3 linked regions of the Mus musculus genome follow. The protein of the gene in region 1 purifies or fractionates together with the protein of each later gene. This does not show direct contact. Links are inferred from orthologs where the notes say so. Each region holds a gene or a part of one and is shown on either strand. Other genes may lie near its edges.

Evidence for each region. The genes of interacting proteins can lie anywhere in the genome.
Region 2: the proteins of Rab8a (region 1) and Gdi2 purify together in Homo sapiens (co-immunoprecipitation; 5 studies listed by BioGRID and IntAct, with this or other methods). This does not show direct contact. The link is inferred for Mus musculus from reciprocal best matches to the Homo sapiens genes RAB8A and GDI2.
Region 3: the proteins of Rab8a (region 1) and Gdi1 purify together in Homo sapiens (co-immunoprecipitation; 6 studies listed by BioGRID and IntAct, counting the BioPlex papers as one, with this or other methods). This does not show direct contact. The link is inferred for Mus musculus from reciprocal best matches to the Homo sapiens genes RAB8A and GDI1.

The regions. Positions count from the first base shown.
Region 1 is NC_000074.6:72,160,052-72,164,046, reverse strand, and holds the start of Rab8a (ras-related protein Rab-8A), read right to left. Parts: upstream 2,848-3,995; 5' UTR 2,689-2,847; coding exon 2,565-2,688; intron 1-2,564. UniProt on the Homo sapiens protein: The small GTPases Rab are key regulators of intracellular membrane trafficking, from the formation of transport vesicles to their fusion with membranes.
Region 2 is NC_000079.6:3,536,565-3,540,909, reverse strand, and holds the start of Gdi2 (rab GDP dissociation inhibitor beta), read right to left. Parts: upstream 2,836-4,345; 5' UTR 2,612-2,835; coding exon 2,567-2,611; intron 1-2,566. UniProt on the Homo sapiens protein: GDP-dissociation inhibitor preventing the GDP to GTP exchange of most Rab proteins. By keeping these small GTPases in their inactive GDP-bound form regulates intracellular membrane trafficking.
Region 3 is NC_000086.7:74,303,705-74,307,846, reverse strand, and holds the start of Gdi1 (rab GDP dissociation inhibitor alpha), read right to left. Parts: upstream 2,836-4,142; 5' UTR 2,451-2,835; coding exon 2,406-2,450; intron 1,269-2,405; coding exon 1,161-1,268; intron 1,003-1,160; coding exon 903-1,002; intron 745-902; coding exon 610-744; intron 176-609; coding exon 1-175. Other genes in the region: Atp6ap1 (V-type proton ATPase subunit S1 isoform 1 precursor), read right to left, coding at 3,841-4,050. UniProt on the Homo sapiens protein: Regulates the GDP/GTP exchange reaction of most Rab proteins by inhibiting the dissociation of GDP from them, and the subsequent binding of GTP to them. Promotes the dissociation of GDP-bound Rab proteins from the membrane and inhibits their activation.

The DNA.
Region 1 (3,995 bases):
ATGAGATCTGATGCCCTCTTCTGGTATGTCTGAACACAGTGACAATTGTACTCACCTATATTAAAAAAAAAAAAAAAAAACTTAAAAAAAATGTTTTAAGCCAGCCAGATGGAAAAGGATGTGTAGCTGACCTGTGTTGAGGCCCTTGGCTCCATCCCCAGTATTTCAAAAAGAAAAATTGAACAAACATATATGAGATGCAAAATAAGCAATACAGGTCAGCAAGATGGTTCAGTGGATAAAGGTGCTTGCCACTGAGCCTGATGACTTGAGTTCAATTCTTGGGTCCTACTCAGTAGAAGGAGGAAACTGACTCCTGTAAGTTGCCTTTTGACATTGGAATTTGGGAGCCAGAGGCAGATGATTTCCATGAGTTCCAGAACAGCCTGGTTATATAGCTAGCCTGTCTCAAACAAACAAACAAACAAACAAGGGCTAGGGACACGACTCAATCCCTAAAGTCCTTGCCACAAAAGCATGAAGACCTGGGCATGGTGGCATAAACTTACATAACATTACAGCACTGGTGAGACAAGAAAGAAGGGTCCTGAGGCTTGCTGGTCATCCAGCCTCAAACTTGGTGAGCTCCAGGATCAGTGAGAGACCAAGCAAAGATAGCTTGGTGGGTGAAGGTACTCACCCATAAACCTGACAACCTGAGATCAATCCCCAGGACCCACATGGTGGGAGGAAAAGAACAGACTTTAAAAGGTGTCCTCTGACCCATACATGTGCATAAGCATACACATACACTCCCAATAAAATAATTTTTAAAAATGAGGTGAAGATTGAGGAATAACCCCGACTGTTCCTGTATGCACACAGGAACATGCTCACACACATGCATGCATGCCAAATTGAACAACAACAACAAAACACCCCTGAACTAATGTCACCATGTTGGTGTTGACTAGGAAGTGTCTGAGGATGGGAAACTGAGGTCTGTGTTGAGAACAAACCAGAGCCTGTGGGTAGCTACTGTCACTTCCTGCTTGGTCCTCACCTGAGGGTAACTCCAAAGCTGAGTGTTTGGGTGGGGGTGTGTGTGGGGGGAGAGGCTTTAAATGCACCTGTGCCCAAACCCTCTGCTTCCTCCAGACTGAACCTTCCACTGGTTGTATAGATCTAATCCTCAACCACCCAGGGCACCAGACAAGACAGACAGTGCCATATCTACTCTAAATAAAATTGGGTCAGTGAGGGTTAGAGCTTGCTCAACCTAGAGTTCAAGTATGATGATTCCCTGTCCAGTTCCCTATACTTGACGCCTGACACACGACTGCTTCAGAACACTGACTGGGAAGGAGATATTAGATGGCATTATCACATGACGGTCAGGTCAGGGAGACAACAACTTAGTTGACATTACACAGAAATCATCCCCCAGTTTCCCTTTTCCTTCCAAGGCAGGGTCTCATGCAGCCCAGGCTGGCCTTGAACACTCTATGTAGCCAAGGATGACCCTGAGCACCCGATCTTCCTGCCTCCCTGTCCTTAGTGCTGTCATTACAGGTGTTCACTACCACATCTGGTTTCAGGGTGCTGGAGATGGCACCCAGGGTTCCAACAATGGAACCACATCCTGACTAGGGATAAACCAAGCCTAGTGACTATTCTCTTGTTTCAGGACCATACACCATCCAGGTCACTCTGTTTGGCAGGATTTACTTCCAGGTAACACTCAATGTGAGCCATGACTATTCATGGTAAGGAGCATGGTCAGCACCATTTTTGACGTCAGAACTGGGGCCATCACAAGCCAATTCTGTTCAACTGTGCCGTGAGGCAGCCCTGGGGAAAAGCTGTTCAGGTGGTGTTCTTGGCCCAGTGAAAGGAAGTCAGTCAAGGCTGCACGTAGCCATGGCTGGACTTAGTTTCTTACTGGAACTTTTTCTCTTGTATTCCCACCAGGATGACAGATACTGTCACCATTCCTCAGAGAGAAGGCAGGAGGACTTTGGGTTGGAGTCCTGACTTAGATGTGGATCAGTGGTGCTGGTCCTTTGAAGCTCTGGAACAGCTGAACCTTGAATTTTGGAGTCAGACACACCTGGGTTCAAATCTCATCCCTAATACCTGTAGACTGTGACCTTCAGTGCGTGCCGCACCCTCCCTCAGTTTCAAATTCCTCCTCCAGGGACAAAGCACCCATCACGAGTACACTACAGATTTGATACTGCACATGCCAAGCTTGCCACATAGGAAACTACGAGGTCAGGTGTCACCTCCATGCCTCAGTTTCCACTTTTGGAAGACGGGGGTCTCCCCGGAAGAACAGTGTAGAGGTCTGATGTAAAGACACAGAGAGTTGACAGGCGCCAGGACCCCAGGGCAGGCTCTTCCTCAGACTGCAGCCTGCATGTCCCTGTCTGCACCTTGGTCTCCGGCGCCCGCCAGGGTCCCGGCCTGGACTCCCTGGCGGGAGGTGGAGGCCGCTGCGGTTCTCTGTCCAGCCCCGTGACCCTCCCGGATCCTCGGCCCGAGTGGATCCTGAGTCGATCCCTCAGCCCAGCCCCATAGGGGCGCGTCCAGCCCTGGTCACCGGCCGCCCAAGGCCCCGCTACCTATGGTAGAGATGAATGTGGAGTTGAAGGCGTCCTCGGAGAAGCGGAACAGGACACAGGTCTTCCCTACCCCCGAGTCCCCGATCAGCAGCAGCTTGAACAGGTAATCGTAGGTCTTCGCCATATTACACTCTCTCCCCGACGGGAAGTACGGCCGGCGCCTCGCCACTGGTCGCTGGACCCGTCTATCATCTCAGATCCCGCCCCCTATTGGCCCCCTGCCCGCCGCGCATCATCCAGGCCTACGCCCGCCACCCGGAGCCCCGCCTGTCGCAGAGAGCCCAGGGGAAAAAGGCGAAAGCGGCGCAGAGCCGGAAGCAGCCGACTGCACAGCCCATTGGTTGACGCTTGGTATAGGGAGGTTTGTTATTGGCTAGTGCTGGAGAGTCGAGGGTGAGGGCGTCAAATGACCAGCGATGGGTGTGGTCACATCTTGACCCCGCCTTCCCGTGCGCGCCTTCTCCTCAGCCCTTCAGCGTCCAGGCCCTGCCCCCGACAGGAGGGACCCCAACAATTCCGCGCGCTGGTTGATGAGAGAGTGGGAGGGACGGGCTTGGTGAACAGGCGCAAGCGTACTGGGAAGACGGTTGGCTCTGGCAGAGAGCGCACGCGCGCAGAGAACGCCTCGTGTTTCCCGCCTTCTCTGCCTGCGCAGCAGCAGCCGTAGCCGCAGCCGGCGCTGAGGCGAAGCGCAGGAAGTACCTGTGGTAATGCTTCTGAGGAGGATTTTCGGCGGTGCAAAAGTGGCGCGGGTTAAGATGTGCTGCAGACTCGCTCCTCGGCCTTGGCGCCCACCATTGGACTTACTTAGGTGCTGTACAGGCAAGCCGGCCATTGCCGTGAGCGATCCCAGGGCTTCAGCGCCGGTAGGGCTATGTTATCATTTCCAAGTAATGGCAGCGTTTTTTGTTTTGTTTTGTTTTGTTTTCTTTTCTGTGCTTGCGGGTGCTATCTATACTTAAAAATAAGTCAAGGTCCTTCACCCCACACCAGCCCGGCTTGGTAGGTAATCTTTTCCTCGTTTTATGGTAAGTATACTGAAGACAGGTGAAGTGACTTTCCTAGGTTTCAGAGTAGCATTTTTTTTTCCCTTCTGTTTTTTAATATGTTGAGGTGTAGTCCCGGAGTAACGGGAGAACAGTGACAAAATAAAATAAAGCCACATTAAGATAAACATCTGAGGGCTGGAGAGATGGCTCAGCGGTTAAGACTACTCTTCCAGAGGCCTTGAGTTCAATACCCAGCAACCACATGGTGCCTCATAACCATCTGTAATGGAATCCAGTGCCCCCTTTTGGTGTGTCTGAAGACAACTACAGTGTACTCAAATCTTAAAAAGAAAAAAGGAGTGGGGGGGGGTGGATAGATGGCTCAGTGTTTAAGAGCACTTACTGATCTTCCAGAGGTCCTGAATTACATGGTGGCTCACAA
Region 2 (4,345 bases), on another chromosome or scaffold:
TCTAATTTGTGGCTTTTAACTTTGACTGGGAGTCTCTTCAAGATTTAACCTAACTCAAGATTTCACCCAAGTTCTACTAATGTCATTTCTTATTGTCAACATCATTCTGCTATTACTGTGTCTATTAATGATGGTCCTATGATGATCACAAGCTACACTGATACAATTCTAAAACATTTCCCAGTATAGATCTAGGAAGGCCCAGTGAGAAACAAGGTTAGCATAGCTGTAAGACAGCAGAAACTGTTCTAAATTCTAGTTACTTATGTATCCACTACCCATTAAGAAATTCACAATTCAAGTGAAAATTTAAATAAAGGGTGTTACTTTGTTAAACAGACTGTGCTATCTTTGATACAAAATGATGCTTCTAAACTAGGCCTGTGGAAGCCTGCAGGAAGCCTCTGGGCTCACTTAGCTACACTCAACCCACCCTATTAATGGGCAAATGTGAAGTATTAGCAATGACAATATAAAAGAGAAATAATTGGCTCTCACAATATGCTGGCAGCCACAGGGCCCACTAACAGGCCACCATCACAAACTACTTACTATGCCCGGAACCCCCAATTAGGCACTAAAAAAGGTCAACCTGCAGAGAGCCCTGGGTAGTGATTAATTTAGCCATTCAAGTCTCCCCAACTGACGGGGTTGAGGGTGGGGGGTGGGTGTTCCAATGGCTGGGTGTGACAGTATGTGCCTTTTAATCCAAGCACTGACCAACTACTGGGAAGGCTAGAAGGTAGAAATATCTTTTAAATTCAGGGTCAGCCTGATCTATATAGGGAGTTCCAGTATAGCTAGGCTACAGAGAAAGATCTTGCCTCAAAAAAATAAAAGAAATTCAGTCATTCATTCAAAGTTAAGTAGATGGCCTTGTAGGTGAGCAATGATGTCTATCTCCAGTCTACTCTCTGGGCAGTCACATGTTACTGAGCCTTGAGCAGAACATCTTGGCCTTGCCTTTCATCCCAACACCCAGAAGGCAGGGATAGGCAGAGCTCTGCATTCCTGGACAACCAGAGCTACAAGGTGAGAACTTGTCAGAATTCAATAATCTCTTCTAGCAATCATTCATCACTTCAAAGAGAAAAATAAGCTTTTCCTAAAAGTATTAAAAGAAAAAAAGTAGAATAAAAAATCTTGAAGGTTTTCTCTAAAACAGTTATTTCCGAGTATTTTATCTTAAAGATATTAATTTGATTCTAAGAAATGCCAATGCAAGCTGGGCGGTGGTGGAGGCAGAGACAGGCGAATTTCTGAGTTCGAGGCCAGCCTGGTCTACAAAGTGAGTTCCAGGACAGCCAGGGCTACTTAGAGAAACCCTGTCTCGAGGAAAAAAAAAAAAAAGAAAGAAAGAAATGCCAATGCATTTCAACAAAGTCGAAAGCCGTGGGGCTCTTATTAAATGACTTGGACATTTGATGGATAGACATATGGGATCCATACATCAATGTTCCAGATGAAGTAATTTACCCATAATTTCACATTCAATACCCCCCCCACACACACACACCGCAATTGATATTCAAAATGGTCGGTTCTCTTCCCAACTCCTTTTTGCAAAAGATCAGCCCTTTTGTCACAGTGGGGGGCCGGGGGGAAAGCACAAAGTATAAAAACCTGTCTATATTTTTCCCATATTTAAGCAGATAGATACTGACGAAAACGTACTGGAGCATTAGGGACCGCCTTACATTTACATACCAGTACATTCACACTGCGCATTTATTTTCTAACCTCCCAGAAGTGTAACAAGTACAGAGAACTTAGCCTCCCCCTTCTCAAGAAACTGTGGCGGCACGCAATAAACCAAACAAAAGGGAAGCACGGGCCGGACGTGAAAAGTATTTAACAGACAAGTTTTGAGAAAATTCATTTCCCATTTCAAGCGAGTGGATGAGAGGGCAGTGAAGCAATTAGAAAAAGGGTGTTTGTTTTTTTCCTAAAGAAACTCGTTTCATGATTTTCTCTAGAAACTTAAGTTGGCCAAACTCTAGGACAAATTATCGATCAGCGATCATCCTTCTGTTTGGCTTTCTGCGCCCTGAGACTAGCTGAGTAAGCTGCTGCTGCTGCTGCTGCTGCTGCTACTCGCCACTTACATAGGAAGTGCAGGCGCCAGCAGCGACTCCCTCCCGCTCGGTCCAGGGCTTGCCTGCTTCCAAGCGGGAGAGGTCATTCACCCAAAGGGGAAGTGCAAGGAGCACAAGCTGTTTTCCCGGTCCTCTTCCTTCCTGCAGGAGGACGAGGCTGTCTCTCTCCGGCTGCTGGGCGGTTCTGCCCTCAACTTCCCAATGGGCAGGCTTCCCACGGACACGTCCCGGCTTCCACATCCTGGTTTTCCCTAACACACTACCGACGCCTTCAAATCACTGCATCCCAACAAGCCACGACCTCCCTATCCCAGACTCAACGCGGGCGAGTGGGGACGGCCCCCAAGGGGGCGCAGACACCGGCAGTTCGGGCGCGGGCGAGGCTCGTGCACACCGATGGGACCCGCCCTCGCCCCCGGGCCCGGCGGAGGCCGGCCGGCCGCGTCTCCCCGCAGCCCGCCGCAGCTCACCGTCAGGCCGGTGCCCAGCACGATCACGTCGTATTCCTCATTCATGGCGGGGAAAGGAGCGCACGCGGGGGCTCGGAGGCCGCCGTAGAGAAGGGAGCGAGAAGTCCGGCCGCTCTGGGCCCCGGGGGTCGGGGGGAAAGGGAAAAAGCGAGGAGAGGAAAAACGGAGCTGAGGAGGAGGAGAGGCCGGCCGCCACCTCAACGGGAAGAGAAGAGCAGGGAGGGGAGGGAGGGGAGGCGGGGAGAGCGCGGGGTGAGGAGAGCGAGCTCCGGCGCCGGGGCGGGGCGTGCGAGAGGCCGACGGCGCCGTCAGTCAAGGGGATCCTGCTCTCTCATTGGTGAATTTCCTTAACCCCACCTCTCCCCCCCTCGTTCCCCTCTCGCGAGAGAAGGGCGGACTGCTGCCATCTTGGCTTCCGGTTTTGCGCTTTTTTTTTTTTTTTTTTTTTAAATTTCACCCGTCTTGTGCTCCTGTGGTATGGGCGGCGACATGCGAAGCTGAGGGTCTAGTTGAATAGGAGGAACAAGGCGGAAACTGCAGCTGGGCTACCACGTGCCTGACTCTCGCGCCAAGGTGTGAGATGGAGCACGGTTGTTTAGGCTTCGGGCCACGGAGCCCAAGCTCCGCCCTTGGGACTTTGAGAGGTGTACGTGCATCGCCCTGGCCGAGCGGGGCCAAGTCGTGAGGACGCCAGCCTCTCCGAAGGTTGGCAGCCTCGTTGCCTCTGCAGCTTGGCTCCTGGCCCTGCCCCTGCCCCTGCCCGCGCGGGGCTGGGAAGACCTCAGGATTCTGTGTGCCCTGCTTTAAACTTGTATGGTTCTGTTCGAACAAATAAATGTGTTCTAAACTGGTATCCATGCTTTAGGTAAAATGTGGTCCAGAATGGCTTTCCTATATAATGCTCCGCATTCTAGCTTGTGATGCAAAGCAGGTTATAAATTTAAGAGTTGATAACCCTGGTACCCAAGCAACTGGGCTTCAACTAGTCTCTCAGGCTGAAGGCTGCCAAAATGTGCTTATAAAGGCAAATGCTGAATTGCACTATATTTTGTATGTTTGCTGTGTTTCAGCCTCTACATGCAATTACCACACTAGAGGTGGGGCTTCTGAACCATCTTTGGTGTGCTGCCTGGTTCTGGATCCTGATCCTTGTTAAAACTTTGTTGAATCTAATTAATTTCAGAGTTGTTTTGTTTTGTTTGGACAACAGAATTGTCAGGGTGCAAAGTAGACCTTCCAGTAACCCTCAGGACCATTAAAGCAACATTTGCAGGCCCCTTGGACATCAAGCTCCACTGGCTTTGAACTAGCTGTGCTGTGCCTCGGCCCTTAGCACACACCTTTAATCTTGCTGGAATACAGGCACACCCTAAGTGCACACCTTTGATTCCAAAGGTAAAACTAGTTTATTAGAAGGAAGCACCCATGTTTAACAGTGATGTCTAATTGAGTGGCTTGACTGAATCAGAGAAAGGTTTGCCAGGTTATACCCAGCTCTCAAAAGAGAGAGGGAAGGGAAGCTATTTAAGAGGCAGTACAGAAGAGGAGGAGGAAGCAGTTTTACTGTGACAGTTATAAAGGGACAGGTTGCAGAGAGGACAAATTAGACACAAGTAAAGACAGAATGAGTCAAAGAAGAGGCGAAAAACCAAAACAGATTGCTATAGTTAAAGGTCAAGCAGAGCAATTCGGAAGAAGCAGAGAGGAGCCAGATTGAATCAGTCAGCTTGGAGAGGAGTTTGAACCAGAACAGCTGAGTTGAACCATCCAGCCAGAGTT
Region 3 (4,142 bases), on another chromosome or scaffold:
GCATGGCCAGTGAAATCTATGACATCTTGACCCAGGTCAAACTTCCGGTAGACATCACGCATGCTGGTGTTCTGGGGATCAACACCCTCAAAGGTTTTGGGGTCATTCTCATCAAAGTTTGCCACAAACACCAAAAATTTTCGGAAGCGTCGTTTTTCAAACATGCCCATCAGATCTGAAAGAAAGGTATTGAGAAGACCCTTAGCATTACTGGGACATAGAACTCCTCTTTCCACCAGAGCAGGCCAAGAAAGCTGGTTGTATGTAATGTAGAGTATTGGCTCCCACCAATACTCTATCATGTAACACTACCCCACCCTTCTTGATCTCAATTTTCTTTTTGTAGGAAGAAACCCTTCTAGTTCCACGTAGGGATGCTACAGGGCAAGTAGGCCCTCTGACAAAAAGGAATCCTGTTCTGTGAACTTTCTGGCAACTTGCCAGGATGGGTAGCACTGTCCAATCAATACACTATAAAGTAAGGGTCCTCTAGGACTACACAGAGCTAAGATTAGTTTCAGGCAAAGATGAGCCTTTTGCCTAACTGTCCTGAAAATAGTCTGTCTCATCCAGCCCCATTATTCTCTGGTTAAGGAGACTCATACTCACTAGAAGCCAAGGCCTCAGTCTCGGTGGATGGCACTTTGTAGATCTTGCCCCCCTTATATACAAAGCTGCCCTCTACCACCTTGAAGTCCAGATATCGAGTCACTTCTGTATATAGTAGCATCTTTACCAGCTGACCTGTGTCCAGAGGAAATAAGGGACATTGTTGTGTTTTCCTTCAAAAACTCTCAGTAGTCTGACTGACCATATTCTTGAGATTGACCAATCTCTCCCCACTCCGTCTTCCCACTCACCACCCCCAAAACCATATACAGCATCTTTTTAATCTCTCTCACCATTGGCCATGAGGAATTTGGGGATCAAGTCAACATTCCAGTCTCGGCCCCGGCCCATTGATTCAGGGGGCCCTTCCAGTATCTGAAAGCGCTTATATAGCTGTAAGCAGGACAGGAAAGAAAGAAAAATGTCAAGGACCTGTCGCCCTTTCCCACTCTCCTGCCCAGTACCTGAGAATTACTTCGCCCCCTTATACCTATGTGGAAGACTAACAAGGATCTGGGTCTAAGCCCAGGTCTAAGAATAAGAAATCTTACCTCCTCCAGGGGTGTGATGGAAGAGCTCTCACCCCCATAGTAGGGGTTTCGGTCCATGTGCAGCACCTTCTTTCCATTCACAGACATGATGCCAGACAGGATGCATTCCTGGGGAAGGAGTGACATTTGCAGCTATACCCCATAACCCTCCAACTTGCTTCATGCCCACCACCAATTTTATAATGCAGCTCTTTTCAGTGCCTAAAACTGGGGAGGAGAAGATGGCTTCATATGATGTTTCCTTTACAACCCTGCTGAGTAAACTACTGGAGCATTAAAGGAGGTTTGGGGGGCAGAGCTTTCAGCTTCCAAGTCTTCCAGCATCAACAAGCCAAGAGAAGTATCTACTTCTCTGAGCCCACAAAAAGACAATGAGTCTACAAGAAGAACCAATTCAAAGGACCTTTGAAAGAGAAGGCCAAGTCCTTGAAATCCCAGGCCCCACCCTGCTCCTCCTTCAAAGGGCAGGAGCCCCTGACTCTCTTCTGGCCCTATCCACTGGTCTAGACTCAGGGTTCAAACTAAAAAGATTTAGGCCGGGGGTGGGGGTTGGGGGGGGCGGGGGCAGGGAAGAGACAAACACCCTCACCAGTCAGTCACTAACCCAAGGACAAAGGCTGAGGATATATATTCAGTCTGAGATCTCCATGGGAAACCAAGTTGGGGCAGAGGTAAAGTGGTCACTACCCCCCCCCCACACCCCCCACACACACACTCCTGCTGTCTCTGGAACATTCCATGGGTTTCCTATCCCATCCCAAAAAGCAGAAAAGCATGATGAGGGCCCACCCTTGTAATGTCCCCATACCCATCTTCATATTCCATCCCCTAGTTTGATCACAAGATGGTAAGGGATGCTAATCAAGGCCTTGGAGCAGGTGATGAGTTCAGGCAAAGGGTGGGGGCTGGGTGCAATGGTTCCACTGTGTGTGTGGGGGGGTGAGTTTTCCACCTCGGTGATAGAGATAGGGAAGAATAGGGGTCTGAGGTTAAGTACTAGAGTGCAGGAACACAGGACAAAGTGGGGCCCTCTACAGAGAATTGGGAACTGGAATCGACATCCTAGGGTGAGGTAGTGGGTTGGGCATGGGGTTGGTTTTCCCAGGGCTGGAGCTAGGATGATGGGAGGATGGATCGGATACCGGACTCTGCATCAATGCGGGATGGAGTGGGGTGGGGAGGGATGGCGTGGGGTGGGGAGGGATGGCATGATGCAGGGCTATGAGAGCCTGAAGTGGCACTTACGGTAAGACCTGTCCCCAGCACAATCACATCGTATTCCTCATCCATGATCAGGCCTTGGTACCAGCGTCCGCTCTGCTCCTCCTCCTTCACCACAGCAGCCGCTACCACTACCTCTACTATTGCTACTGCTGCTACTGCCGCTGCTGCTGCTGCCCCTGCCGCTGCTTCTGTCACTGCCGCCGCACTGAACCAAAGATGGCGTCTGTCGGTTGTCTCCTGATCCCTACGCAGCGTTAATGAGTCCCTCTCTCTCTCCGCTGGCCCCGCCCCGCCCAACCAGTCATCATTTCCTTGCTTGTTTTCTGGGAGGGCTTCTGTCACCTGGGTCCCAGCACCAGAATGACTGCAGGGGTTATCGGGGCTCTTCGTGAGCCCAGAAAAATACGGGGCGGGGCAGGCCGGCAGCAGGTGCTGAGTCCTCCGAAAGATCCTTGCGCGGGAGCCGCGCGCGCCCCGCCCCGCCCCGCGCGCTCCCGTACCGCCCCCTGGGAGAAACACAAGGTATGGAAGCCCTGCTGTGTGTTGTTGCACAGTAGCGGAGCTACCATTGTCAGGATTCCTCCCAAGGCCAGGAAAAGTAACAAGCCTCTACTCTAAGTAGGTTTGTTAAGAGTATCAGCTTACTGAAGACCCTCCCACCCTTCCTCTCTCACCTCTTGCATGACTGGACTACATCTGAGCACTTCTTCCCTTCAGTCAAGAAAAAAAAATCTACTGTTCAGTGCAGAAATGAGTGACACGAAGCCCAACACAAGGCAACACGTCTTTATTTTATTAGGAAGGAAACAACAGAGCAACCCCCCACACACACCTCCGGCCTCTTGACAGGCAGTCTTTATGGGAATAATCCAGAAACCCAGTGAGCACACTTTGTTCACCAATCCTCGTGATGGTTTCTTCCTTCCCAGGCCACAGAAATAAACCCCAGTGTACCACTCACTCTTAACACATCACCCCTCCCCCCCAAAAAACATAACAGCTAAGCTGGACAGACAGTCAAGTAGTCTTTCCACACCTCGCAAATTCAAGGAACCTCAAGTTCATGGCTGTTGCTGGAAGCTCCATAAAGCTTGGGGAGTGAGCATTTACTACACAAAAGCACTATAAACAGCAAGGAATAATAGCAGAGGGGCAAGAATAAATAAGGAGAGAGGGTAAAGGGGAGACCCTAGAATTAAGGTCCCTTCCCCTCTTGATGATGAAGCCTGGAAGATTTATCTAATATCTATGAAGAATACACTTTGTTGGTAGAGATGGGGGATAGCCACAGGGGAGTCCCTCTCCGGGTTAAAGAGGAAGCAAGAGAGACTGAGGGTGGCGTATGTAGGGTTCATGCTATAGTAGGAAGAGGACAAACCTTTCCATCCACTGTGTCACAAAACAGAAACATGACAACCTAGACACCAATACTCCCTCAATTCCTCTCAGGTGTATGTCACACAATCTGGGTCAAAGTGATGGTGGGGCCCTTGTGGTCATCAAAGCGATCCATGGTCTTTAGGCTGAGTATCATGTGCAGACCATAGGTGAATATGAAAAGCATGAAGAGGGTGGTGAGCAGACCCATCCAGATGCCCGGAGAGAAGAAACCAGCACAGTCGCTAGCATAGGAGAACTGTTCACCAGTCACATTGAAGGCCTGGATCTAGGAGACACATTGACATGGATCAGATGGTTCCACAAGGTTCCACACACAGTAAGAGCTGGGATTCTGGAATCAATGAATAATCTATACCT